4 linked regions of the Arabidopsis thaliana genome follow. The protein of the gene in region 3 interacts with the protein of the main gene of each other region in a pairwise test. Each region holds a gene or a part of one and is shown on either strand. Other genes may lie near its edges.

Region 1 (7,127 bases), on a different chromosome or scaffold from region 3:
AACAATAGCAAGGTATATGATCACAGACTCAACATTCATTGGCATATCAACCGCGATTGCTGACTCTTCCTCCAAACCCAAAGCACTAAGAGCATGTGCAGCTAACCTACACAATAGATAACAATAGTCAGTAAAGGAAACAACTTTAAAGCGTTATTCACCAAAGAAAGGCCACAAGGATGGGAATTTCATACCAGACCTGCGATCTTAACTCCAAAAGTGTCATGGTATTCACAGGAAGATCATCGCTTCCTTCATCACGCCATCGAATCACAATATCATCCAATCTTCTCTTGAAACCATTAGTCAAACAATTTCTTGCAGGATTCAAGTAAGCTCCAGGAAGCCATTTACCTCCAGGATTATCTCCAGAAGTATCCTTCTCTAATATACACTTAGGAGGTACAGAGAACAATATGTTTAACTCATCCAATACAGTTTTCCAATACACCTGATCAAGATAATCACCATAGAATTACAAAACACATAATCACGAAAACTTAAGGCATAACAATAATAATAACACCAATGTTAGTTACCTCAGGATTTGATACAGAGAACTCTTGAAAACTGGAGAAACTCGAAACTGGATTCTTGTAATTTCCACCTAAAAACTCTTTGCCTCGCTTTTCTAATAACTTGCCTACGTTAGTTAAAGAAGCAACCTTCCTATAATATACAACAAAGCCAAAATCATAAGAATCTGAAACAAACGGAGAAAAATCAATTTATGGTAAACAAACAATTCGTACGGGTCGGGTATCCAAGCGGGTAGGTCGGGTCCGAAATCCTTGTAGCAACCGTAATACATCATCTGGTGAAAAGAGAAAGGGAGATTAGGGTGAAGGATCCGCCGAGAAATCTGAATCCACGTCTCCGGCGGCGTGGATGAACCGTGAATAATGTCTTCGAGATCTCTGAGAAGCTTCTCGGAGACATCACCGGAGATTCCTAGAGCTTCGATATCAGATTTGGTGATTGAATTTAGGGATTTGTACGCCATTTTTTTGAGAGAGCTAAGAAATCATGAATGATTCAAAAAATGATGAGAGTGGCAGAGAGAAGAGTGGCAAAATTGTCCACGTAATATAAAGAGAGCTCGTGATCGCCACGTGTCAATCTGATTCTGATATTTGATAGCTTTTTTTCGCTCTTTACACGTCTGATTGGATTATCTTCTTCTTCTTGGTGATAGGAGTTACTTTTTTTTTATCTTCATGTTATATTATGATATGAATCTTTTTATTGATATCAGTCTATATACATTGTATGAGATATGAACTTGTATTCTTAATCTATGAATCATTTCAGAATCTAGGCTCCATATTATATACATTGTCGATATGTTACTATGACCAATTTTTTACCTTAAGTTTAGTTGGGTATTTTTTTTTTTGGGACAAACTAAGTTTAGTTATTTATATGTTAGGAATCATAATGAAAGTGAAAGAAAAAAAATGTTGATTGATTGATATATTGAGGAAAAGAAGATAACACTTTACATTTGGTTACTTTATATGATTTTATGTATCTTGAAATTGGTCTCAGTCTATATACATTATGTAGTGGTACTGATCTCTTACACCTTTTTTTTTTGCTTTCTCTTTTCGACTTTTGATCATCATCTTATTTGGTTTATGTCTTTTATTTATTGATTTCAGTCTATATACACTATCAATTTAGATTGTATGGATCAGTAGAGCAATATATGTTAGTCTATATAAATTTTATTTAATTTGGTGTAGAATCCGTTAGCAAAATAGACAATTTTGTTACAATTCGGAGTGACCGGTGTTACAATTAATATTAATTAGACAACATTTTGATTAAAAATAGTTTGTATATACTTCAACTATTGCACAATATTTATAATAGTTTTCAAAATTTATATCTTGGTTTTCACATGATTGAAAGCACTAAACTAAACTCCACAAAAAAAAAAACTTGTCTAATTTTTATTATCTTCAACCATTTGTAAAATGGATTTTCGGCAAAAAGCTATTGGCAATCCCACTAAGTGATAAGGCTAGGCCACACACACACACCTACCAGATGGTCCAAAATGATTGTGCATCTATGTGATATTACAATTAGTTGTCCATAACTCATTATGAATTTAGTCTTTATCCCAATTTTTTCCTACCACTATAGGCCAAACTCATCCCGGTTTTTGATCATACATTTTTTCTTTTAGATGATTAGCTACTACTTCAGTTTGATGTAATCTTTTCCATATATGATCATCAATGTAAAAGACAAGTAAGTAAGTAATTCGAAAATCTTATCTTATCAAAAGATCTCTCAAAGTTGAGAAATAAAGGAATACTAAACAACACTTGTAAAACTATATATATCCTCTGTTTTCAGTCGGAGCTAGGAAGGAACTTGGTTCCGGACCTAGTGCCAAAGCTTCTCGAAGCTGCCGGGATAATCCGCGATGGAGACAAGACTTGTGCAAACGAGAAGTTGTAAGAATCAGTGCCTAAACGGCTCTGCAACCATCCTCTGCCACCAGAGAATCCATCTGTCACAATATAGCAATTCTTGTACCCGAGAACCTTTAACGTTTTCGCCACTATCTTAGCCGAATCCGTGTACCTACGAGCCAAAAAGACCAATAAAGATTAAGCAAGATTCACAAAAAAGGTCTTGTAAAAGAGTAATAATCAAAACTCACGAGTCCAAGATGATGATATTGGAGCCTTTGTTGATTTTCTTGAGGTAAGAAATCTTTAATGCTGCTATCTCTGCTTCAACTCGTTTAGAGTTCCTCACGATTCCTTTTACTTTGTTTGGTAGTTCTTCTAATCTGATAATCACAAGAACAGGTTCAATGTTTTGAGTATAATAATAATGAAAAGAATTATCAAAGTTAGATAGACACATACGGAATGGAGATCACGCGGTTCTTAGCATTCGAAGGGAGCCGTGGAATCCCGGCTTTCTCCTTGTCTTTCTCTGATCTTATATCCACCATCAAGTAGTTCTTGGTGCAAAGAAGGTCAAGCGTTTGAGCCGGCGTAAGATCACCTTTATTAAAAAAACACAAACCAGAAACACAGAGTAATTGTCAGCATTTTGCTATGGTGAATTAGACTCTAGATACAAAATAGATCACTAATAACCAAATCAAAAACTTATATATGTTCTCAAGATGATCTATATGGAGTCTTGAGGTACCTTTGTAACCACGGAAGTTAAAAGAGATGGCAGAGAAAACAGGAGGGAGAAGAAGGTAAGCAAGAAACGCAGCACCAGCAGCAACAACAATGACACTAGGGTCAGCTGAAGAAATCGTATCCATGGTCGATGAAGCAATCGGTTTAGCATCTTCTATCGCTTTTGACGTCTGTTGTGCTACATCTGTTACTGTCTACATCCCAACCAAAACACAGACAAACCACTTCAAACCCTAAACCCCAAAACCTAAATTGTTATGTTCTCATACATATTTGAATGTAAGAAATCTGACCTTTGCAGCATTAAAGACAGGCTCAGAATCAAAACCAGAGCTCTGCATTGCTTCTTGAGCTTTCTTTGAAGCTTCAGAGAAAGCAGGAGAAGCAAGCTTCATAGCTTCTTCACCAGCTTGCTTTGCAATGGGTAAAGCAGTGTCCAAAGCTGGTTTAAGAGCATCTCCTACTACTTGGAACACACGCTGCGTTGCATCAAATACACTAGAACCAGTTTCTTGAACTTGGTTGATTGTTTTCTCCACCTGTTAAGACACAAGAACACTCATCAACAAAAAGGAGACATTTTGGTCATTTCAAGAAGTAAAGTGAGATTATTATATATACTTCAGTGAGAGAGGAGACGATTTGGTCCTTGGGAATGGAAACAGCAGCTTTAGCTTCATGAGGAGGAGATGCAAAGAGAGATAACAGAGAGATTGAAGTTGATGTTGGAAGTGAAACAGAGACTTGTCTCAGACTCAGTGTCTTCTTAGTAGAAGAAGAAGGAAGAGTGAGTTTTGCAGATAGTGAAGACTTCGTTGCCATTTCCGCCATAGCCATGGTTTCTCTCTGCCACACTTTTTTACAAATCAATGCGACAGAGAAAGAGACAAAGAATCTTTAGAGCTTCTCTTCAATGTTGTCTGCAAACTGTTTCTTCAAGTACCTTTTTCTAAAGATTATAAATAAATTGAGTTTTCTGGTTAAGATTGAAGGAAGGGGATTTGAAAGATGGATTCTTATTGGTCAGACTAATCCTACGTGGCATTTTTGTGTTAAAGCTTAGCCGTTCGTTGCCAATCCAATACTTTGATATATGTCGTACAAGAATTTCATTGTAGCAGTAATATCAGAGGTGTACTACAGAATAAGAGCAACAAAAAATGAATACTGTACATTGAAACATGCTTATGGTTGTACACGAAGTAGCTATCTGTTTTAGCCGCCTCTTCTAACAATGAGTTCCATCAGTTCGATTGGTAATCAAAGAAGCGGTTCAACCTCCGCTCCAAGCGCCTCAAATTGTGTTACCAATCAAAGCCAATAAACATCATCTTGTATGAACCAAGACCGAAAACTGCTATTAAACTTCATTCCGTACAAAACCAAGTATCTTAAATTGGACTGATGTTGGTTTAGGTTCCGTTCTTGTGGTTCCTGTTTACTCTCCTAAAAATTTGAACAGATTTGAGCATGCTGATCAAGTGAAGTAAACTACCTACACTTGGTCAACCGTCTACTAGTAAAATTATAGACTCACTTTATTAACTTTCCCATGATTGAAGGAAGACGAGCAAACACACATGATCACTAGTTCCATAGCATTTACAAGTATATAATTCCACAAAATGTATAGTAGTACCATTACTAGACCTTAAAACAAGCAAGCTCACCATTTAAACTATGCTATTAAGTTCATGTTTGTTAAAGCATCAGCCTAGAGAGTGGTATCATATTATTAGTAGTGCTACCATCATCACAAATTCTATATAAGAACATTGTAGAGAAACAGTATTTTCTCATATTTTAACAGCCCCTCTTGTGTGAGGAATATAAGAAAGATAACAAGTCTTGATCTTGAAAAAGAACAAGATTCTCCTTTTCTTACCTAATTTGAAAATGGAATCATGATACCATTTGAAGTTTTGCTCCAAGGAATTTTAAAACCCACGAGCTAAGGAATCCTTTCACTTCACAAGATTCCCTCACCTTTTCTCTGTGCTGCCAAAGGTGAGGGAAAAAAAGAGAGGACACAGGAAGACCAATGACTTATAACAAAAGTGTCTTTTACAACAAGAAAGTTTAAGGAGTGAATTTGATTCTTCTTGAACAGCCAGTTTCATAAATAGTAATACGAAAAGAACAAGAAGTATAGCATGGCTCTCTAGAAGGTTATTAATCAGTGAATATCACCACTTGGATCCTGATTAAAGGGTTATCATCACGCACTCATTGCGCAATGTATCAAAGTTTTTGATTGTATTATACTATTCTACGTGGATTCCTTATCACTTGCCAAGAATGAACATAGTAATGCAAAAGCAAAGGTTTTAGAATTATGCAATGTCTATGTAGGTAATACTTAAAAGAGCCAGAGAAGTAAGCAAAAGCACACATTGCATCAAGAAACCAAGAGATCACAGCAAATTTCATATCAGGAACTCATAACAACATAGCCATGCTCAGGAACAAAATTAGCGTTGAGGGTCTGTAGTGACAAAAGACATAGCCAGGAAAAAAACCGATCTACTAATCTGCAAAGCTGAAGAAGTACAAGTTGGATTCAGTGGCTCAACAAACAAAAACAAAAATGCTAGATGAAGAAAGACCATATGGAACACAAACCTTGATACATACATGTAAACCAAAAGTAAAACTGCATCATCAGAATTCAGGACCATTGTTAAAAAACAGATCAATAAAAAAAAAAAGTTAAGACAAAACTGAAGTTGTAAGATTTAAGAATATGAGTCAATTATGAAGACATGACTACAAACAAAAACACATATGATAATTGATCTGTTACCCAAAACAATAACAAACAAACAATTTCATTTTATCCTTTTTTCATATACAAGAATTTTGTTTTCCCTCACTATCTCAACAGCTAAAAGATGAATACTTTGAATTAGATTTGGGATAAATTTTAAATATTTAGTTTCAGCAGCTGAGAAGACTTTATCGAATCCATTGTCCTGCTTCTCAGCAATACTCAAATAGATATCAATTAAACAAAAGTCATGAAGAGCAAGCAGCGCTGGATGCAGAGGTTTATCGATCGATTCTTGCTTTTGTAAACAAAAATAAATATTCACAGGAATTGATCGATGAACCGCTGCCTCCAGCGACTTCACTCTTTCCTCATTCATAAATCATAAATAAATAAACAAAAATAATTGACAGATCTGAGAAAATCGGTTGATGAACAAACACAAATCATTATTAATCTCAAAAAGATTAAAAGAAACATTTAGATAAATTTACAGAGAGAGGTGGATAGATGCAGAGTTATAAAACTAGGAGCTGCTCATATATATAGAGAGAATGCATGTGAGAAATAAGTGGAAGGAGAGGAGATTTTTCAATTGGAATCAATGAAATTTGAAAAAGAGGAATCTGATGACTCACCGTTTTACCGTACATTACATAATTTTCTCTCATCCTCGTCTTTTGTACTTTTTGGTCAATAAAAAATCCAACTCTATGATTGACAGTCTAATGATTCTCACTCTAGTTTTTCTCTTCTTTTCTACTTCTTTTCATTTTTATATAATTTTCACTTCTTTTTGTTAAAATTTATCAAATATCACCAAAATTTATCAACTCTATAATTTTCACTTTTTTTGTTAAAATTTATCAAATATCACCAAAATTTACCTACGCATTACAAAAGATAAACAATAGACTTTACCAAAACCTAACTCTTTAACCATAAGCTAAAAACAAAAAAAAACAAAAAAAAAAACAAGACTTTTTGTCAAATAAATAACAATAAATCATATATATCTTTTTCCTTCTAAAAATCATTCTATTATATGGAAGTTAGAATTAATGTTAAAGTTATACAAGACTATACCACAAAAATTATTACATAAACAGATATGTGAGTCATTTTCTAAAAAAAGTACGAAGAAACAAGATTTAACAGTAAATTATATATTAGTGCAATTT
Region 2 (6,351 bases), on a different chromosome or scaffold from region 3:
TAACTCTCGTGTTTAATATAATTTTACAGATTTAATAATGTATCTAAATATGATTTCTCTGGTCTCAACATGAGAGGTTCCAACATGAGAGTTTACAACCCTTGGCCGATCTTATGTTGTTTTAAGTTTATTCTGACACCTCTTTTTTTAATACAATCTTCTGTCTGCTCTGATTGACAGCATTGATACCATGATCATATAACCGTTGCATGTTTCTGAAATCAATCTCAAAATAATTGCTTCATAGTAAAAAATGATTACAAGATTCGAGTTTCATTTATTATCGTTATAACACTCACTGTCTCATTCGTCAAAGTCTTTAACAAAGTCAACGAACGACCATTAGCTTGGGCTTTCTCTCCACCGACGCGCCGCTCTCAGAATTTCCACTTACTCATTGTCTTTATATTCAAAAACTCAAAAAAAAAAAAGTATTAAGAATGGCTTAAGACCGAAACGTGTTTTCTCCTAGTCTGGCAAAACACAAAATAATAAATATAAGGAAACGCTTATGAATACTTTTCAATATTCTACATAAAGTCATTGAAAGAAGGATTGGAACAAAGTGAGAAGCAACAAAAAGAAATCAAAATCGTAGCTCCTAAGCAATACGTTTCTTCATTGGCAACGGTTTTGATTCCATTTCGACTCGAATGAAAAAAGGCCAAAGAGTATTCAGGCAATTACGGTGACGGTGGCAACAAATTATAGATTAAAACGAGCCAAAATAGAAGAAAGTGCCAACAAATCCGTGTGGGCACCAATCCAAAGTGGCAAAATCAATCAACCAGCTGTCCTCTCCCTCTAACTTCCGATCAAAGACTCTCTTTTTTTTTGTTTACGTTTTCTTTTCCTCATTCTCCTTGTCTTATTTTGATTGCATTATATTGAACTTGAGTTTAATCATTTTTCATTATTAAGGTTATTTATTTATAGACGCATGATGCATCAAGTCATAATAATTTCACCCGTGATGATCACATAATAATACTAATCCAAGACTCCATGTGTCGTACCCCAAAAATTTATCTCAATTATACTATGTACCTTATATTGTGCTATTTTTTTAACTAATAATTTCCCGACAATTTAGTAGTTGGAAATTTCTCGACCGTGTGATATAATCTATAATATAAAATATCATAATTATTAAACAATGATAAAATTTGTGAGCGACATTGGTATCAATTTCAAATCCAATTATTATGTTGACACAAGACTAGTGATTTATAGTATAACCAATTTAATGTCTAACGTAAAAACAATTACTATTAATTGATTTTCTATATCTGATCATATGTTCAACAAAACACATGCTAATCTACCCACCATTGGCGAATAAATTTATTGCAGAATATAACAGGAGAAAAATGCCAAGAAAAAAAAATCCTTATAAAAACGCACAAGAAAAAAGTAAAAGAGCTATTCTGTAAAATAAAAATGAAAAAAGTATTGAATCCTACATTAATAGATACAGGATATGATGTTCTGTTTCTCAACGGCTACATCTGTCTGTGATCCTTTTTTAATCCAACGATCCAGATCTCTCCTCATCGCCTATATAAAACTCACTTCTCTTACATCAAACAAACAACACGCTTGGTTAAACTCCATCAGTACTTTAACCATCACTTCAAAGTTCAAACTCTTTTTTTTTTTTTTGTTTGATCCAAATTTTAACAAAATTATGGATCGCAATTTCCTCCTAACAGTTACATTGATCTGCATTGTCGTCGCCGGTGTCGGTGGCCAATCTCCTATCTCTTCTCCGACCAAATCTCCCACCACTCCTTCTGCTCCAACTACTTCCCCTACTAAATCCCCCGCCGTTACTTCTCCCACTACGGCTCCGGCGAAAACTCCAACTGCTTCGGCTTCTTCACCGGTTGAGTCACCAAAATCTCCGGCTCCTGTTAGCGAGTCGTCTCCACCACCGACACCTGTTCCAGAGAGCTCTCCTCCGGTTCCTGCACCAATGGTTTCTTCTCCAGTGAGCTCTCCACCGGTTCCAGCACCAGTAGCTGATTCTCCTCCAGCTCCGGTAGCCGCTCCGGTTGCTGATGTACCGGCTCCTGCTCCAAGCAAGCATAAGAAGACTACAAAGAAATCGAAAAAGCATCAAGCTGCACCTGCTCCGGCTCCGGAACTTCTCGGTCCACCTGCACCACCGACTGAATCTCCCGGACCTAACTCCGACGCTTTTTCTCCCGGTCCTTCCGCCGACGATCAGGTACATTAGCTTATATCAACAATGTTGATATTTATCTACCGTCACAAGTTCGAGTATCAATGTTAAAAATAACCAATGAGACATTTCAAAACAGTGAACATAGATTTTCAATTTTTGTTATATTGATTTAGTAATTACATATTCGATTAACTAAAATGAAAATATGGAATTGAATGCAGAGCGGAGCAGCGAGCACAAGGGTGTTGAGGAATGTAGCGGTGGGAGCGGTTGCAACCGCATGGGCCGTTCTCGTTATGGCATTCTAAATTATTTATCATTTCACCTCTGATATTTTTTAGTTTTTATATTTTTGACCCTACCATTGTCTCTTTCTTTACGAATTTGGTAATGAGTATTATTTAATTGATTATACAGTTTGTTTTCTTTTATTTTATTTATATGGAAATAATAAGAATTCATATCTGTCAGTGATGAAAATACTGTTTTACACATTGATTGTTCTTTTCTTTTGCAGACAAAAGTCCTTTAGTGATGGGTCCGAGTTCTTTATTGAAAATGACACATTCAATTTTAATGCAGAATTATGGACATTTACTCTAAAATAAAATGTTTGTGTAAGTAACGTCTATGTAACAATAAGCAAAGCAGTTACATAATTTGTTTTAGTCTTTTAAATGTTTAAAGTGTTAGTAAATCAAATGTTGATATTTACGTTTGAAACCAATTACATGTGTTTCTTTAAACAAATATTTACAATTGGAGTATAATTATGCGAGAATGAAAGTGTCAGCTACTTAGTTGGATCTTAGTCTTTTATAATGTGAAGTTGGTAAATATTTATTGAATTCATATCTGATACCCAACTCAAGTGGCCAAGTTGCTATAAATGAATTGTCTAAAATTTATTACTAAACATGTATAGATCCAACCAATCATATAATACAATGCTTTTTATTGTACCTTTCAAATAGCTAGATTCATATTTTTGTCTTGTTCCTTAGAGAACTAGATTTGAAAAAGAAAAAAATTAATGGATATCTAATATGGTAGGCAAAAAGAAAGTGAGAATAGAGGACAAGTCATATTCCCCATGCTTTTATTAAAAGTACATTACTCAACTGTGAAGAAATGGCTAAGATTTTGTAAGTAAAGCACAAGTTATACTTGAACCAAGGTCTTGTGTAGAGATTCAAGATTCTTGGCTTTGCAAAGACACAAACCCACCAAGCCAAGTCTCTGATTCCACACACCAATACAAATTTGTATATAAACATAACATTTTCTTCTTCCTAAAGACTAACTTCTAGACAATATGGGTAGTTCAATGGGCTTTCTCGGAAAAGGTTTTGCAATTTTTTAACCTAACAATTATCGACTCAAATCGTTATATAACCGTTTTGACAAATTTTCGTCCTATATATCTTTCTAAATAGATTTCGATATTTGGCCTAGGGGTACCACCGACGCAGATGATGAATATGGTAATGGGTTCACTCTACAAACAATTTACCCAAAAAGCTATCAACAACTTCGACGATTTCCACGTTGCTGTTTTAGACATCTTTAAGTAAGGATTGTTTCATTATTTGATCATTCGAAAACAATGGTTATGTTGGCCAACATTTTTTTTTTTAAAAGGAATTTTATCTATTGAGTGCAGCAACTTCAACTCGGCTTTACCAGGCAGGCACTTCGATTTCCCAACCCCGGACCAAATAAAGGTGAGTCCTCTCCTCTATCAAAATCACACAAAGAATCTTATAATAATTTCTCTATATTTTTAACACAATGTTGAATGATCTAAACAGGTTTGTTTCGCGCGGTGGAAGGAAGCGAAAGACGAAGAAGAGAAGAAAAAATTGTTCATTGAGTTCATGTCAAAGAGCGTGAAGCCAAGTAAACTCGATGATGTCACTATGATCACCGGAATAGTATCTCCACCGGCGGCAATGGCGGCTAAGAGAGCAGGAGAGAATGTTCCTCAGTTAAAATTAATCAAACTTATACCTGATGTTATATTCGTCCCTACGGTCACCATTTTAGCCATTGTCTCTGCCAAACTCTCTAGACGAATGTATTTGAAATAGTGTTTTAACTAAGCTTTCTTTCTTTTCCAAACAAAAAAAACTTAGCACCGACAAGATATAAAACATGATTGATTGATAATACAAAATAGAGAAAAATATATACACTCTAAATTATAGAAGTAAAGTTCAAAAGTTGATGTAGTTTGAATATATTGTTGACATGAAGAATCAAAACACAGCCACTATAAATATTTCTTTGTACTTTAAAGGCTTAAGAGTTAAGAATATCTTAGAATGAACAATTTTTACTTTTTAACACAAGATCCGATTAGTTACTTGAAAGTTTCCAAACCTTCTTCAGGATCTTCTTCGTAACCCGGCAGAGCCTGACCTTCGTTTTCCTCGCTTTCTCTTCCTGTTGGAAAACCTAGAAGCCATCACAGCATTAGACTTTGGCTTCTCTCTTGAAACCCGACGCCTCTTTGGGTTACTCTCTTCCTTCGTAATGATTTCACGATTGCGCGGTGTTCTTTTCCTTACCTGCGTTGTGTTAGAATGGCATATGAGACCAAAAGGGTTTAGCAAAGTTACACTGAGTTAGCGGAAAACTTACAGGTCTTGATGGACCTTCCTCAATTGAAGCTTGTTCTGTCTTCACTAGATTCTTATCGGGAATAATAGATTTCCCTTCCCTTCGCTTTGATGCTAGAATCTCAGACAGTAAAATATCTGTTGTCTCGTCGTCTTCAGGTGAGACGTGATGAGATGAAACTGAAGCAGATTTCACCGGTTTTTCTTCAGAGATGATCGATTTCTCATCTTCGTTTTTGATAGCCAGCAGGGGCTTTTGTTGTTCTGAGCTGGTGTATACATCAGCAGCTCCAAGTGGATTCACTGTGTTAGCCAGAGGGAATATACTTGGATTTTCACTCAAAACCTTGTCTACGCGGATCTTCAAGTTACGGGCTTCTGACTTTGCTGCTTCAATTTTCAAAAGTATCTGTTCCAAGTACGCATCGCCTTCTCTAAACTCGAGAGGCGGTGTCTCTTCAGAGAAAGCTGTCTCATCCTTGGCGCTCTTATTCTTCTTATCTGATGACCCAAGACAGAAAATATTTTATAAGATCAAAGTTTTCAAAAGGAGTAATATCATATCATAGTTGAGATTTTAGAACACCATACCTAGGTTGCGGGAGTTGTCATTAAGAGCAATATCGGCCAAAGATTTCCGACAATCTATACAAAGATCAGAAACAATAAGATAAGAAATTATTAGACAAGTAATGGTAGATGAACATTAATCACGACCAGAAAGACAAGAACACCAAACTAGTTCCATACCATAATAAGAGAAGAGATTATGGTTTGATGCATAGGATGTAACATCAGCGGTCTCTTCAACTCGCTTTCTCGTTTTCCTCTTCATGAGTCGGGTTTTCTGAGTATAACATGGAAGAGGAGGTAAAGCCTTTACTCCAAGTTCTTCTGATTTGACATTTTCTAACTCCAACTTCTTGGCTTGGTAATATTCTTCAACTTCTTTGTCGTACTTCTGTGCTTGGTTCTGAAGTTCTTTGTATTTGAGTTCAATCCATTTGCAACGCCACATTAAAGTAGGCTGTACAAACCTCCTCCAATGATCAGTCAGCTTCCTTTTTCTGCCATAAAAAGGAACAAACCATAATAATTACCGCATACCATTCACGATATAGAGCAATTCTTCTCCTGACTTCCTTAAAAGGAGATAAATCAAAGACGCAGCTAGCTAAGTCGTAGTAAAGTAACACACAAATTTAAGTCCTTTCAGAATCAATCAAACAACACATAGATGGAACTGATAGTGTTCAATAATAAGTAACAGTAAACAAGGCTACCAAATCCATGAAAATCTACAACACCAAATTAAGCTACAGACGTTTTTCTCATTAGTACAGGAACCCAAGTAACTCCTAAATTTCAGTCTTTTAAGAATCCAGCAACATAGAGATGGAACTGATAGTGTTCAATTAAAAAGTAAAAGTACACAAGCTACCAAAACCATCAAAATCTCTACAAAACCAAATTAAGCAAGAGGACATTTTTTTCTCATTCTGCTATTGGTTAAACACACAACAAACCTTCATGGAAACCATT
Region 3 (8,250 bases):
ATATGCAGCAAAGTGCGGCGTTCAAGATACTTAGGACAAGACTCAAAACTGTGCCAACGTACTCATTCAGTACTGGAAACCAAATAGGCAGAGCAACTTCAGGAGTTCCTTTCTCTCAGTATAAGCATCAAAACGAGGACGGTGACTTAGAAGACGATAACATCAACAGTTCTCACCAAGGAATCAATTTTGCTGTGCGGCTACAACAGTTCGAAAACGTACAGAATCTACATCGTGGCCAGGCAAGGACTAGAGTGAACTACTCATATCACTCTTCCTCTTCTTCTACATCAAAGGTACACATAACGCTACACATTTTTGTCTGTTAACCTGCGGTATAATATAACAGGATGGTGTAACATTATTGCCATTTTTGCAAGATTTACCGGTTTTTTCCCTTAGCAATTGGAGTGTTAAGAGATATGGATAGTCTCATTGTGCTTTAATTTGATGTATTAGGAGGTGAGGAGATCTGAAGAACAACAACAGCAGCAGCAGCAACAACAACAGCAACAACAACAACAACAACGACCACCACCTTCTTCGACATCATCATCAGTTGCAGATAACAATAGACCTCCATCAAGAACTTCAAGAAAAGGCCCTGGTCAATTACAGCTTTAACCTACCTGGTAATCATAAATAATAAATAATATTCCATCCCCGACAATCATCATCTTCATCTTCTTTGTGTGGACACCACCGATCCCTTTTGTCTCCTGTAAAATTGTATATCTCTCTTTTTTAGTAACTCTTCAAGTTTCGACGGAACTTGTGGAAAAGCTACGGTCGTGTCCATCATCTCTTTCTCTCTGTCGGGTTTTTTTTATTTACGAGAGATTCTTCTTCAGTCCCTCAGTCTACCTTTATATTGTTTTTTTGGGGGTTTCTCGTTTCTTTGAATTTGTTTCATTGTTTGGAGCTTTTTATATTTTTACCTTATGTGGAGATGTAAGAAAAAGAAGTGATCATGTGGTTTTGTGTTGTTTTTTTATAACTGGAAAACCACATGAGTTTGTAGAGGTCACTTATTGGATATTTTATGTCAAATGATGCTCCTTTTTACATTTTCCTCATCTCACAATGATTTACATCTTATACAATGTTTGCTAATAAGAGACATTACACTTCACTAGTACTCGAATGAATTGTACATATACTAACCACTTCCAGTAGTAGAACAAAAGAAACAATACAGATATGGCCTGTGGCGACTTTATTGCTATATATGATACTAATATGTACCAACAAGATTTATTCTAAGAATACAACACAGACTTGCGTTGGAAGAAAGGCAAAGAGAAGAGACGATCTATACAAAGACGCTTAAGAAACTTAATTCAAAGAGCAATAATCTTCTCGAAATCTGATTCATCTTCAAAATCGGATACATGATGAGAGTAAGACCATGAAAACGACTTACTACTCCCTCTCCTAATCCTTCTCTGTGAATCGTTGCCGCTCCTAAACCGCTGCCGAAACACGAAATAACACATACTTGCCAATGTCCCTACCAAGATCGGTGCTCCAAGCAACGTTATGGTAATCGCCATCCACGAGTTCCCCTTTCCAACAACCGCAAATGCAATCGCCAAAAATGCTCCGAATGTGCAAGCACAAGCTGCCCACATTAGCTTATTCACTACAGACACAACTTTCTTCTGCGCCCGTGTGTCCCACGCCACCAAAGTTATTTGAACTACCACAACCGCTAACGATATAAACAGAGATGTCGCGTTTAAAAGACAGAACACGCGGAATCCGGTTCTCCCTGCAATATTGGCTTGTCCCACATGCGACCCCTCCGTGAAATACTGACCCGGCAAGTTGAATATGGCCAAGAACGCTATGGAAGCAAACAGAACCGCCACTACCGTTATGGAGTTAGTCGTGTTCTGAACCGCTTCTCTGTGGAGTTTCCTCAGCTCTTTCGCGATCCCAGAGACACGACGGTTGGTTTTCTCATTCTGCAAAAGCTGCGATTGCACCTCGTGTTTGATATCACTCACTGCTCGCTTCAATGCTCTCGCCTCATCTTCTCGACCAATGAACCTCCCATGCTTAGCCCCAGCTTCTACCAAAGCCTCATTGATCTCCAAAGCAGATTCGCTATATTGCAGCTTATCCGCCAAATCCATAGCAGTTTCTTTCTGGTTGTTAATCGCATTCACTTCAATCGCCGTAAAGGTCAGCAATAAGCTCGTTATCTAATAAACAAAACACAAAAGGCATTTATGTGTCAACCCCTGTTCTTGAAAGCTAACTAGCAATACAAGAAGCTAAGAAAGGAGTGGAGTAATACCTGTGGCCGCGCCTTTCGAGTAGCAATATGCAAAGCAGTGTTCCCTTTTCGATCTCTCTCATTCAATATTGTGTAATCAGCCTGCAAAATCTCTTCGACTACTTCCAAACTTCGTCCTTTAACAGCCATGTGAAGAGCAGTCTGACCTTTCTTATCTTTAACACCAACAATCGCTGCGTCTTTCTCTATGAGAGCTTTCACTATCCGAAGAAGCCCGTACCTTCCCGCAGTGTGCAAAGATGTTTTCCCGTTCTTTCTCACAATCATTGCACAGCTAGGATCAACATCAAGCATTGCATTTACTATTTCTAAGTGATCTTGAACCGCAGCTGCGTAAAGCGGACTCGTGTTGGAAGCGTCGCAGATTCTGCAAAGCTCTGGCCATAGTCTCAGTAACTCCTTCACAATTCCTGGAGATCATAAGCAGAGCCACATCAAAATATCTTCAAACTACGAAATTCAAATCCATTTTCAGCAATTTCAGATTCAAAATCATAATCAGAGAGCCAAAGTTTGAAGATTTGAAGTCAGAATTAGTGAGACATACCCAAGTGACCTCGCTTGGCAGCGACATGAAAAGCGTTCATGTCGGATTTGGATCTGATCTTAACTGTTTCCAAACTAGAAAACCTAATCAAGTAACGAAAAATGTCTTCAAGATTCTCTGCGGCGGAGATATAGACGGCGGTCTCTCCGGCGTCGTTTTGCACAGACATAAGCTCAGCCACAGCAGAACACGGCGATGACTCATCGATTAGCTCATCTCCGGTTAAATTGTCAACTAACTGTTGAAGTTGACTAAGATCTCCTGATCGAACAGAGGAAAAGAAAGCTTGGTGAGTAAGAAACTTCATCTGCTTCATCTCCATCTCTGTAAAGCTCTGTCCTTTCTCTCTCTAAACCAAAAAAAGTTATCAACTTTACACAGACCCAGTACTCTCTAGCTCTATCTCTAGAAAGCTCAGCCAAAACCCATCAACATGAACAGATTCGATCTCCAAAAAGTCTTCTTCTTTATTTTTAGTTATGCTTTGCAATGAAATTGGGATTCATGTGAAACCATGTTTGGTTCTTTTGCTTTAAAAAAAGAACAAAATTCTTTAAGGTTTTTGCTTTTGTTGGAGAGTTGACACTAAAAACTAAAAAGATGATAAAATGGGAATCTTTTTTTTCTTCAATCAAAACCTGAATGGTCTCTAAATTTCTCCTCTCAATAATTCGTTTCTCTGTATTTTAAAATGTATTTTTTTTCCAATTTTGACGAGACAGCAACATTATTTCTCGAAACAAATTATTTGTCTTTTTAAAATAATTTATGTACTATATAGTCTATAGATAACGTATATGGACCGTTGACAGTTGGAATTATATTTTAATTCTGGAAATATTTAAAATGACATGTTATTTTCATGTAAATATATTTTTCTTTTACCGTTTTAGATTTATTATTTATTGCAAATTATGATTTATGAGAACCGTTATATAGCCGATTCTATTATGGGTAATTTGTTTCGATCTTTATTAGATCCACGAAAGACGACACTTTCTTCTCCGTCTTCATGCTTTTGATGGACACCTTGAAAGATCTTCAAATCCTGGCAAACAGTTATAATTGTACATCGTTCGAGATCTCTTGCACACTTATCTCCATTATCTGCTAATAAATCACAGTATTTGGGACTTGAACCTCAATTTCTTTGTGTATAAGTATTAATAGAACTTTCCGCCAAAAAGGCTTCCACTGTAAATATATCATTACTAATATAGAAAAAACTTTAAAAAAATAAAAATAAAAGAGTGAAACCGTCCAAGCCCAAGTACAGCCCAATTATTTATATATTAAAAAATGGGTTTATATAATACGTGGCTTCTGTTTTGTAAAAAGACATGTTATTATGGGCTTGAAGCCCATTATATTTTTAATAACTAGCAAACTAAACGGTCCTTTTTGTGTTTTGTGAGAGCTACTTCATGTTGACGTCAATAATGCACCGTCAAAGTCTCCGTGACGGAACCACCACCGACCCAAATGACCGGCATCACCGTCAACTTCTTCGTCACCATTAGCTTTCATATAAGTCTAAATTCATTTTATTGCTACGTTGATAGTCCTTTTTTGTATATAACGTTTTAACATTTTATCGATAGTTTCAGAAAATTAAGAATACCATAATGAGTATGAACTATGATTCTTATGGTTTATTTTAGATATATAGAAGACATAGCTAATCAGTTCTTTGACAGTAATACAAAAATGCCTAAAATTTTTATGGATTAAGAGAGAAAGAAATAAAATTGACAAACAAAAAAAAAGCTACATTCCAGAAAAGGATTAGGTTGCAAGTGAGACACGTCGAAAGATAGTGACTGTAATATTTGGATTTTATCCACAAACCAACCAAAGTAAAACAAAATTCAATTAATTTAAATTATCATATTGTGGAAATTTAAGTGTTCTAGAAAAAAACATATAAACAATGACTTTATCTTACATTAAATATGTATAAGTAAACTTTGAAAAAGATGTGCCCTTCAAAGTCTTCGAAATCCTACTTGGATCCAATACATAGAAACTATTTATAAAGTATATTATATACACAGTTTTGTATTTTTGCTACAAATCATTTACAGTTTTATATAAGAATAATGTGAAACAAAAATTTATTTGTCAAATTATCAATTAATTACTAGTTAGAAATAATAACATTAAATACATTAGAAAATCTATAGTTTGATATTTATTGGAAAATATATATTAATTACATGCACTGAGGGTCCTTTGTTATATACTTTATTAGTATATATCTGACGTCAATAATTTTTTTTTCTTATTAGTTGGGTCCCATATATTTGTATAAACTTGACTCTAACCATTGTTTATTTACTAATGTAATCTTCAAATCAGATATAAAATAAATGTTGGGTTTGGTTGATCCAACAAAATTGCCCCCACATTTGTCTACGGAGAGTCCATCAGGTCACATGGGTGGCACTAATTGAATCTCAGTTCAATATATATATAAACAGAAGTATTTTTCATTATGGTATTATAAGTGTTGGAAGATTACCATACATTTGAAATAAACATGTCCATAATTAGACAGAAAATTGAACCTTTTGTATAAGTGTATTGATGAGGCAATAAAAGTCCAACTACACATCTCAAGGTAACGATTGGTTGGAATTTTTTTTATCCATGTATAACGACAAAAAAACATAAACAGAAACAAAACAAAAATCAAGAAACCTACGTCCACAACTCTATCTTTGGTCTGAAATCTGAATTCTGAAAACTATAATCAACTATACTGGTCTAATCGTCTATGATTGGTAGAGTTTTTCCAAACCTAATGATAGGACACACGAATTATCGCTTGGGATCATGCTAAGCATAACCTTTTCTTTATTAATTTAACATCACAATATCATTATTAGCATAACATTTCTTTGGTTAAAACTAATATCATCAACGTTTTCACGGTCATTGCATAGGTTTTAGAAGAACCATTCAAGGGTTTAAGAAATAATGATCTTAATTAACACTAGTAGACGATCAAACAAAAACAACCACGATCTAAACTCACACGCGAGCAAACGAATTCGTTCTCAACTATGAATGAAAACTCAATTCGTATATAACTAGGATCCATAAGACGACCATAACAATGATTTATTATTTTTCTTTCTTTTTGGTTAATTCTGATTTATTATCTTCAACGCTTTCCTTAAGCAATGTACAATATTGTTTTGGACCACAATTGTTGGATTTGTCTTGGTTTCAATCATAGCTACTAGTATAGACGTCCTAAATTGTAAGAAAACACCTCTATTCTACACCCCGAAGAATATTATGGAACTTCATTTGGAATATTCTTTATTTTTGGTAGGGTGGAGGAAACAATTGCCTTTCACCATTTATTAGATTAAATTACAAAAAATTTATAAACAAACTCGACGTCTGTTTCCACTGCGTCCTGTAACATAATCAAATGGACTACATCAGCGCAAAAATCAAATGTATGAAAACCTAACTACAAATAAAACGTATAGTTTGCTAATTCGTCTGTTAGACGATTAGTCTCCCTATACACATGAGAAATTCGGACTAACCAATTCTTTGAAAAATAACTATGACACAAACATATCTCAAAAGCTATCGGATATGCCTCACTTATCCCTGACTGAAGAAATCCTACTATCAACTCTGAATCTACCTCTAAATCCACTTTCCTAAGCCTCTCTCCCAAACAATCAGCAGACCATAGTAAATTCCCCACAACTCCATTAAAAGTGCCTAGCATTTGTCAATATGTAGGGCAAATCCGCCTACCCAATAACTATCCCCATCTCAGATCAAATTATATTCTGAAATAATACTTAAAATTATAGTTTTTTTTAACACCAAAACTTAAAATTACACTAAAAAGTAATTTTTCTAATCAAATATCGGAAGAAAAAATAGATAATATTTGAAATCCATTAATTATATTGCATTTTTATAACAATTATAATTTGTCAATTAGTGATAAATGAAAAAAAAAGAGAAAGAGAGAGAGTTGATAACTTGCATAATGTATTATTAGAGAGGGAAAGAGAGCATGTGGTGTCCGACCATTTCAACTCTCACGACTTGCTCCGGTCTTCCTCTGATGCCGACATCTTCTTTCTTTTTCTTTTTCTTCTCTTAAATTTATAGACTGTGGGTTCTAGTCCTATAATTAATATCTCACCAATATTTTAGTTTAACATTTTTGATATAGCTACTAACTTTTTAAACCGAAATTCAAACTAAGGTCACAAATCTACAGCCGATCGATGCATAAACTTTGTAGTGGTTAAGAAAACAAATCCAGTAAAAGGTCGATGCAAAGTTCGATCCACCAACCGAAAGAAATGGTTATATTTAACTCGTGTAACCAATTTTCTACGCTTTTTCATGTCACGTTAAATTATATATTAACTGTTTATATATAGACATTACATTCAAGATTCAACGTCGTTTTCATAATAGTACGTAATATAAATATAGTATGTGAGAGGGAGAGGGGTTAGGTTTAGGTTTTGTGAGTAAAATATTATATTTTCATACATTTTAGCTTCTCAGTCTACTACTCAACAATGAATTAAAATCGATGTTTTTGAAGCAACTAAAATTCAAATCAAATTCTAGAAAGTCGTTTTCCTTCTTCTCGATATTCTTATGGTTTTCTAATTTAAAATGCATGGAATCGTAGAAAGTATTCCAAAATTCAATGTTAATTCTAGAAGAAAACTTTAATCGGCAAATTAAAATTCTTTAATAAATCGTTAGTTTTCTAGAGACTGCAAATAATATTTCTAGAAGAAGAATAAAAGAAACTCATAAAGTCATAATAAACAAAGCCGAATCCAAATATATATTTTACATAACAACTACACCAAATTATTTTGGAAGAACATTTATATGAAGTATACTTATTAGGGAAAAAACAATTATGCTTATTTCATATACGTCGATGTTCCAAATGTTTTTATTGCTTTATATGGTTAGATATTTTATGAATTTCTATGTAAACTTTTAATTGGGTTTTTAAATATACATCTCTAGCTATATTGTTGCATGTAAACAAAATGATGTTTTTAATTAAAGTGTGGGAAAAAACAGAAGAGAAATAAGTAATTTCTTTTTAGAAGAGGAGTATAAAACATATATGCATATGGGGTTAATTTTCCAACATGATAAGATAGCATCAAAAATTACTATAACGAAAAAAGAACTAAAGATACGAAATAGCAACAAAAATACTAAAAATATGAAAAAATAAAATTACCATAAAAACTAGTGTACACAAAGGTCAAAATCTTATTTACATTTGTAATTAGGATCTATATTTCAAAAAATTGAACATGGACCATAATTGTTTTTGCTATTTTTGAGCTGGCCTGTTTTTGCTATTGGTAAATGGTGG
Region 4 (8,482 bases), on a different chromosome or scaffold from region 3:
CACCACAGTTGCTGCAATCGTTGCAGCCATATCTCCCATTCCTTTCAAGTCAGAGACACCCCTCAAGATACCGTATAAGATCCCTGAAGCATATGCATCTCCAGCACCACATGTATCAACTGGCACGCATGGGGACGGAGGAATGTAGATGGCCTCTCCTTTTACTCCAATATATGACCCGTTGATTCCATCGGTAACAGAAACAAACGGAACAAAGTGGCTCATGTATCTTGTCGCTGAAATTGGACTTTCCTCTGCGGAAAAGTGACAAAACGCTCTTGCTTCATCGCTATTTGCAAATACAATATCCGCATAGTTCCCCACAATGTCCCTGAATCAACAGAAAACCATCAGCATTTATCTAGGTTCAAGTTTCGTTTTTTCGAGAGACATTCACAGCTTGAAGCATCAAAGCTTCTATGACTTATCAAGCTACAGAAGATAATCACTCTCTTCGTATTATTTCCAACTGTTCCTATCCGATGGAACTGACCCAAAATCAAATAGACGCAAGAATGTATTCAAGTAAAGGGAGAAGAAACTGACCAGAAATCATCATAATGCCTCTCTATGCAGGACACATCTGATGCTGTCACAGCAACAAGTGCCCCGTTTCTGTGGGCTTCTTCGCAGGCTTTTGTTATGGTTCTTATAGTATCAGGAAGCTCAAACAAATAGCCTTCCACAACAAAGACATTTGTCTTGGCTATCAAACTAGCCAAACAAGAATCATAATTAACGACAGAGGATGTTCCCTGAAATTATACATAACATTAGGTTTGTTATTTAGTGGGATCAATAAAACTGAAAAACTTATCAGAGTTAACAATGCTACTACTATCTCAATGTGGTTGCTTTATGGAAGCAAATCGATCCTACCACTACAATGATCTTGCACGTCATCTACTTCAAAAGTTAAACTTTGCTCGACTCTTGTGGAAGAAGAAAGGGAAACCCTTACATTTTGAATAGTAATACATTGCAAGAGCAATTTGCTGAGATCAGAAATCCTACCTGATATGCAAGCATAGTACGTTGTGCATCAGGAGTTGTGAGAACTATCACTGTTCCTGTTGTTCCGTCCTTGATTGGAGCAGAAAGAAAATTTACATTTGCTCGTCGTAGTTTAGTCCTATAGAAACAAAAAAAAAAAAACTTGTGAGTATACCAAACCAAATGTAATGATAGGCTAGTTTGACGCCTTACAAACTACTCTTGTATAGTAACGATTCTCTACATAATTCCATACTCCAATTCTTAAGAGGGGAATAAAAAGTAGACTATGTCTAACTACATACACAATTAGCCAAAAAAAAAGAGAAGGGCCATATAAGTAAGACAGTTTAGTACCCGTAAAAGCTACCGAGAGGGTCACCTCCAATACTGCCAGCCATTGCCACATTCAAAGGCCGGTCACAGATGGATTGAGAACCTAATCTTGCGAGAGCAACTAAAGTGTTGGACAATGAGCCTCCAGCTGCCGCCTTATAGCTACAACCATCCATTGCTTGTAATAATTTACCCCTCTCCTCGTGATTAATCAGTTTCCTTGTTCCCTTTTCTAAACCAAGTTTCTTTAGAAACTCATCATCCACAACTCCAGAGAAATCTACCTAAAACATAAAACACATCATCAATAACCAAGTAAGTATTTTTAGGATCCAGATTCACATATTTCAACCATTTGGTGGCTTCAAGGATAAGAAGAAGCTAGAAGCTAGAAGCTAGAATGATTTATTATAGGAAACAAAAACTCACCATGGCTTGGCCGAGACCCAAAACATCCCATCTCTCAGGCGAAGCAGCAGAGGAATTATTAGCATGGACTTGTATGAATTCATCGTCGTCTTCGTCTTCATTTCCAATCCTCTGGATTTCACCTTCATCCATATCATCCAATTCAGCACCGGCTCCGCCACCAATCCTACAAACCAATTGCCTATTCTCCGCCATGGAAACAATCCTCAAGTTCCCAGAAGCTCCGAAAAACGAGGTCGCGGTTCTGGTTCGTAAGGTTCCTTTGGGGTGATATAAAGAGTAAAGACGGGAGAGAGAGGAGGAGGAAGCATTATTAGAAGCGGTAATGGCGGAGAGAGTGAAAAAAAGAGAGGCAGAGGTAGGAATTGGAGAGAGGAGGGAGAACGCCATGGAATTAGATAGTTTTGCTCTTTGAATGAAGAAAGCTCACATCTCCATTCAAAAGCGAGAGGAGCAAGGAAGACCAGCAAAACCCGAGAGACGGCCTCTGAGAGGATAAAGTATGACTTTGACTTTATATGTTTATTTATATAAATCTTATTAGGATAAAACTCTATTTCTTATTTATATTCAAACCCAAAATTTCAGAATAAGCATAATTGCTAACAATTTTATTTTAACTGTATCTTAAAAATAATAATGTATGTTGCGTCTATTTATAAATTTAAAATTTGTTTATACTATTTATCATTTGTGTTAAAATTGGCTAATTCTTCTAGTGAACACATCCTTATACGTGGCGTTTGTAATTATCGGGTTAGTTACCAATTACGGAGAATAAAAAAAAAAAAAAAGTAGAGAGCTATTCCCGCGGTAAATTCTTCAACAACTATCTATTTACCTTTACACCAAATGTTGAAAGAAAAAACAGAATCAAGACATTCAAAAACGAAAGCAGAAAGCCAGAAAGAACCTGAAAATCTTGATCTCCACCGTTCTTAGTACATACTAAGATTCATTTTCTCGAAAAAGGAAAAAGAACCGAAAAAAAAAATAAGAGACGCAAGTATGCACAATGCCTAACCTTTCCACCTACAATAAGTTTTGGAGCTGTGAGTCCAGTCTCTGCTGCAACTCTTTTACCTTCTGCGAAAGCTCAATCTTCTGCTCCTTATAGCTTCTAAGTAGATACTCTTTCCCATCTATCACTTCTTTAAGCTCACTCACTTCCTTTCTCAACATCTCTACTCTTTCTCCATCCCTTAGGCTCTTTTCTTGTGACTCATAATTGCTTTCGCTGTCCATAAACCCGCCATTCCAAGGTCCAACCGGAGATGTCTTGCCATTGCTGTCCGCGCCACATCCCACGCTGTGATCAGCAATTGCCTTTCTCAGTCTTTGAACTTCTCTTTCTGATTCAAACAGATCTCTGTTCAGTGTGTCTAGCTGTGCCTGGAGATGGCTTGAGTGTGCCGTCTGTGCGTTATACGAGTTTTGCAGCTCTAGAATCTGTTCTTGCATTTCCTGTATCATGTCATCCCGTCTCTTCAGCTGCTGCCTTAGTTTCTGTATTACTTCTCGTTTGCTGAAAATGTCTGAGCTGGTTTCAGATACGCAAGGAGAATCTGAGCAGTTTGAATTGTGATTGTATGGTCTTGGGGGAAGTTCCAGGCGATCAGGAGAAGTTGCCCACATGACTCCATTCTCTTTGCTCGATGGAGCAGGAACTGTCACAAGAGGCAGTGAAGTGTCAGATGCGGATATCATTTGCTCGCTTGTCACCTCTTTTCCTTCCACACTCTCAGTTCCTATAAAAATAAAGAAGCAAAGGCTGATAAGATCCATACACGACTGTTTGCTCTGGACTACATGAATATTAGGATTCAGAGATTTTCCAAAGAGAAAACATAACTCAGGTCTGGATCTAATAGTACAAAACTTGTAACTATGCTTAACGAGGTCTTGGTAGATAACAAAACTAGTAACTGTTTTTAGCATTCAGCCACTAGACACAGCCATCAATGGAGAAAACCTGCTTCCCTAGTTGCCAGCCCAATTGATGCAAATTAATGGTAATATGCCACAACGAAACAAGAGATATTCGATTCAACCAGTTATTGCAAGGTGGCAAATCTTGTAACTATTTTACTCATTCCATAACTTCGAATTGGATTCCCCTAGTTGACAAATACATCATGAGGTAAGATAACAGAGGCTAGAACTCTATAACAACATCTACACATTCTCCCAACTAGATTTTACTATATATCACACATCGTTTTAACTTCATGAAAGGAAACCCAGTAAGACATGATGCGAGACCAAGAAACAAGCATATAGCGTTTGTTTAGTAGATTGAACAAATATGTATGAGGCAAAACAGAAAGTTACAAAGTCACACCTGGAATGGAGCGGAAGCAACAAAAATCATTATTTTGTGTACAGGAAGATGTGGTAGAGTGTAAGCAACAGCTTGTAGATTTTTGCCTCTCAGATGTTCCATTAGCTGCACAAGAGGCTTTCATTTAGTGATAGAAAAAAACTAGAACCAAATTATAAAACATGTTAAGCAACACAGCGATAAAGTAAGTACGTTTTAATCCAGCAGAGCCATTTGATTGAGGTTTCGAATCAAGCGACTGCTTTAGCTTGTATCCAAAGCGAATGGACAATGTGCTCAACAATGCACCCCCTGCAATTAGTATCCAGTTTGGCCCTTCACCACAAAATTTATCACCTCGCTGATGCTTGGAAATGCCATTTCTTCGTGTACTCATTGTATGAGAAAGTCAAAATGTATCTATCATCCAAACATAACCTACATTGAACGGATACAAGAATCAATCATCATCAACGATCAGAATGAATTGGGCATATGTCAACAAGAAACCTGGTGTCAACTCAATAAAATCAACAAATATACAATTTTAAAATCATCAAATGCTTAATACCCAGAAAGATTCCAGAAACTAGAATATGAAAAGATAATGAGCACAAAGAATCACGTTTTGAGCATTACCTCAAACACAGTCAACCAGAGAAGGAAAAACAAAAAAAAGATCTAAAATGATAGTAACACTGAAAAGAGAAAGACAAAAAAAAAAATGGAAGATTCTCTAAGTCAAACATTCTCAGTTGAGAAAGTATACGACGAATCCATGGAATCATATAGGAGCACAGACTCTACCTCAAAAAAAGCAAATGCAAGAAAAATGGAGTTCCCTGAAAGAGTAATCGAAACGTTGATGCCATGGGATTTAGATTCTAAAACTACAAAAGCAAGAAGAAGAGATAGATACTTGCCTTGAACATGAAGCGAAATGAAAATAATAACAACCCTTATTTTTTTCGATAGGGGCCGTTAATCGATATCCCAACAACCCTTAATGAACACAACAATCGCAATCAGAAGGAGAATAAGGAATTACATAAATCCGAGCTCGAAAATAGATTTTCCGACGAATCAAAAATCAGTGAGCGAGCGAAGCACCCAAAAACAGGGAGAGTATAAAGGACTCTTTAAAAAACCTCATAGACAGCAGAAAATGGGCATTAGGGCTCCATAGTTTCCCTCCCGAGCCAGAAAATTTCTCCCGCTTGAGTTTCAATGTTTGATGGGTGGTCCTTGCAGCTTCGAGAATCGAAAAAAATCGCTGAGAGAGAAATACGATTCCGTGAAGAATCGCAGAGTCTCCGACGATGATATGACTGTAAAACCCCCGGGGAGGAGAGAGAGAAGCAAAGTGGAGGGGAAGAGGTTGAAGAGAGACGGCGCCTCACAGTTACAGCTCCGTTGTTGTTTTTTCCTTCCACTGTTAATTCATTTATTAAAATAAAATCACGCACGCGTCAACCACGTCCCATGGATGACGCTCACGGTGGTTAACAAACTCAGCTCATATGTTTTTTTCTTCTTTCTTTTCTTCTTTACGATTTCAATTTTTTAGTAATGAAATTTAATAGATAATTTGAGTATGAATGAACATTTGACATCTTTATCCATGTGTAAATGTTTGCACTTTCTGTTGATTATTTTTTTTTTTCTATTTTAAGTCACTACCAGCTAATGTGATGATACATTTTTCTTTTGTCTTCTTCACTATGTGACAACTACAAAATTAAATATTTGGTCCTTCCTTCTCTAACGATTTTCTTCCTTATGAATATCAAAACCTGACTGAAATAAGTGCCAAATTAAATTTTAGCAACCCTTCTTTCTCTTTCCTTAAGAACAAGTAACCAACTTTCTTGTAAAAAACTTCAACTGCAATTCTACAATTTAAGCCTTGAGACACGATATTGTATGAGTTTGCAACTTTCGAATATCCACTTCACCAAGAGAAAAAAACAATTTGGATAAAATCATAATTGACACCCAAAACAATGTAGTCAGTTGATAAGTTTCCCCGGAGAAATTGAGATATTTTTGAACAAAGATTCATATTTTTTACTCGGGGAAACAAAAGAGAGTGGTAAGAATGCACAATGCCTAACCTTCTTCACCTACAAAATGTTTGGGAGCTGCGAGTCCAGTCTCTGCTGCAACTCTTTTACCTTCTGCAAAAGCTCTGTTTTCTGCTCCTTATAGCTCCTAAGTAGATACTCTTTCCCATCTATCACTTCTTTAAGCTCACCCACTTCTTTTCTCAACATCTCTATTCTTTCTCCATCCCTTATTCCATTTTCTGGTGACTCGTAGTTGTTTTCGCTGTTCACATCGCCACTCCAACCATTGCTACCTGTGTGTCCCACGCAGTGATCAGCGATTGCCTTTCTCAGTCTCTGGACTTCTCTTTCTGATTCAAACAGGTCCCTGTTTGTTGCGTCTAGCTGTGTTTGGATATGGCTAGAGTGTCCCATCTGGGCGTTTAGCGAGTTTTGCAGCTCTAGAATCTGTTCCTGCATTTCAACTATCATGTCGTCACGTCTCTTCAGCTGTTGCCTCAGTTTCTGTATTACTTCTCGCTTGCTGAAGATGTCTGAGCCGGATTCAGATACGCAAGGAGAATCTGAGCAGGTCGAATGTTGATGGTATGCTTTCATCGGCACTTCCAGGTGGTCAGGAGAAGATCCCCATACGACTGCACTCTCTTTGCTATATGATGAAGCAGGAACTGTCACAAGAGGCAGAGAAGTACTGGACTCTGCCATTTGCTCATTTGTAGCATGATTTCCTTCCCCATTCTCAGTTCCTGCATAAATGAAAATAAGAAGCCAACTCTCAGAACACCCACACAAAACTTTTCTGCCATAACACAAGCCATCATTGGGGGATAATACTACAGCCTTCATAGTTTCCAGCTCATTAACGTAAGTAGCTACTTAAGTATGAATCCTGATTGGGGTACAAAGACATCTTTAGTCAAATATTGTTCCTGATTGGGTTACAAAGATCATTATGCAAGATACTAGAGGCTACAAATATGTAAGAACCATCTCCATATTCTTTCAACTATTTGACAACATCTCCCAAAATCTCTTTTCACTTCAAAGATACCACAAAATCAAACCCCAGTAAGAGACTATGTGAAGTGAAGTTATGTATAAGCAAATTCAGTAGTAAGAATAACAAACTCACAAACTCTCACCGGGAGTGCAGTGAAAGCAACAATCATTATTCCTTTCACAGGGTGATGCATTAGAATGCAAGCAGCAGCCCTTAAATCTTCCTCTGTCGGTTGTTCCATTAGCTGCACAACAAAACAACCTACCAATAAGATAGAGAATACAAGCGAATTCTAGGACATGTAAGCACTAAACAACCAGATAAGTACGTTTTAATCCACCAGTGGCATTGGAATGAGGAGGTTTGGAGTCAATAGACTGCTTTAATTTGTAGCCAAAACGAATGGACAATGTACTCAACAAAGCACCCCCAGCAATTAAGATCCAATTTGGTCCTTCACCGCGAAAACTCTCAAACCGCTGATGCCTGGAAACGCCATTTCTTCGTGTAGTCATTGTAAGAGAAGGTCAAAAAATGTCTTCTATCATCCAACCTTAACACTGAAGAGGAAGCCACAGTCTCAAGTTTAGTAACAGAACAGAGGCCTTTAATCGTAATCAAACCCTATGCGAAGGAAAAATGGCAAACAATTGAAGAACACAGAGGCTCAACGACAAAAAGAAAATCGGAGAACGATTCAAAACACCAAAAGTGACGATAAAAAGGAAACAGAAATCGGAAAATAAACCTCATCGGGATGGGTAATACTGCAGGGACGATTCTCCCAGAAATTAGGGTTGCTAAGTGACAACGATCAAGTAGATCGAGAGACTAATGAAAAAGCTAAAGTTTGTAGAACAATTATGATAATCAATGGTCTCTAGAAGGGAAAACGAAGAAGCTTACCAGGCTGTTTTAGAGAGACAGCGCGGCGCAGAAACAACTACTCAAAGGCCGTTGAAGCTTCTTTTTTTTTTTCTTCACCCGCCGTGAAGCGTCCCAAATTATCTTATTTTCATAGTGTATAGTACTGTTACTAGATATTTTATTTCTCAAGAATGTCGAATCGAAATTGGCGGAAAAAAAAGGCGAAATAAAATAATGTGGAATCGAGATTACTACTTAGGCCTTTTGATTGATATTAAACTGAATAATTCCTTCATGATTTTGTATAATGTAAGTAACAGTTGATTTAACCTATTTCACAAATAAAAAGTAACGATTAAGAAATGAGATTAATATAGGATCAAGATTACGACAAAACGAAGGATACATTTCTCTTTATTGGCGGCAGTGACTCTTGGTGATCAGATGACAGAGGTTATCTCATTCCTAGAG

What was found.
Region 1: the proteins of AT2G01680 (region 3) and CaS interact in a protein complementation assay, tested with the Arabidopsis thaliana proteins (one large-scale study listed by BioGRID).
Region 2: the proteins of AT2G01680 (region 3) and AT4G37445 interact in a protein complementation assay, tested with the Arabidopsis thaliana proteins (one large-scale study listed by BioGRID).
Region 4: the proteins of AT2G01680 (region 3) and AT4G27610 interact in a protein complementation assay, tested with the Arabidopsis thaliana proteins (one large-scale study listed by BioGRID).

What each region holds. Positions count from the first base shown.
Region 1 is NC_003076.8:7,734,397-7,741,523, forward strand, and holds CaS (calcium sensing receptor), read right to left. Parts: upstream 4,140-7,127; 5' UTR 4,017-4,139; coding exon 3,801-4,016; intron 3,719-3,800; coding exon 3,473-3,718; intron 3,374-3,472; coding exon 3,181-3,373; intron 3,031-3,180; coding exon 2,889-3,030; intron 2,810-2,888; coding exon 2,678-2,809; coding exon of another isoform or gene 2,674-2,677; exon of another isoform or gene 2,599-2,673; coding exon 2,364-2,598; 3' UTR 2,122-2,363; downstream 1-2,121. Other genes in the region: AAE17 (acyl-activating enzyme 17), read right to left, coding at 1-106, 195-451, 540-669, 753-1,003. UniProt on the Arabidopsis thaliana protein: Modulates cytoplasmic Ca(2+) concentration and is crucial for proper stomatal regulation in response to elevated levels of external Ca(2+).
Region 2 is NC_003075.7:17,602,071-17,608,421, reverse strand, and holds AT4G37445 (calcium ion-binding protein), read left to right. Parts: upstream 1-3,477; 5' UTR 3,478-3,503; coding exon 3,504-3,534; intron 3,535-3,624; exon of another isoform or gene 3,625-3,643; coding exon 3,644-3,758; intron 3,759-3,851; coding exon 3,852-3,912; intron 3,913-3,999; coding exon 4,000-4,278; 3' UTR 4,279-4,328; downstream 4,329-6,351. Other genes in the region: AGP18 (arabinogalactan protein 18), read left to right, coding at 1,481-2,230, 2,410-2,496; AT4G37440 (uncharacterized protein), read right to left, coding at 4,576-4,758, 4,832-5,310, 5,401-5,454, 5,560-5,876.
Region 3 is NC_003071.7:301,518-309,767, reverse strand, and holds AT2G01680 (Ankyrin repeat family protein), read right to left. Parts: upstream 3,518-8,250; 5' UTR 3,172-3,517; coding exon 2,850-3,171; intron 2,713-2,849; coding exon 2,303-2,712; intron 2,208-2,302; coding exon 1,341-2,207; 3' UTR 625-1,340; downstream 1-624. Other genes in the region: AT2G01690 (ARM repeat superfamily protein), read left to right, coding at 9-296, 460-624.
Region 4 is NC_003075.7:13,782,858-13,791,339, forward strand, and holds AT4G27610 (intracellular protein transporter), read right to left. Parts: upstream 5,659-8,482; 5' UTR 5,227-5,658; exon of another isoform or gene 4,517-5,226; 5' UTR 4,476-4,516; coding exon 4,292-4,475; intron 4,205-4,291; coding exon 4,100-4,204; intron 3,507-4,099; coding exon 2,791-3,506; 3' UTR 2,556-2,790; downstream 1-2,555. Other genes in the region: NARA5 (pfkB-like carbohydrate kinase family protein), read right to left, coding at 1-331, 547-755, 1,015-1,132, 1,351-1,613, 1,759-2,148; AT4G27620 (intracellular protein transporter), read right to left, coding at 6,202-6,890, 7,287-7,388, 7,473-7,659.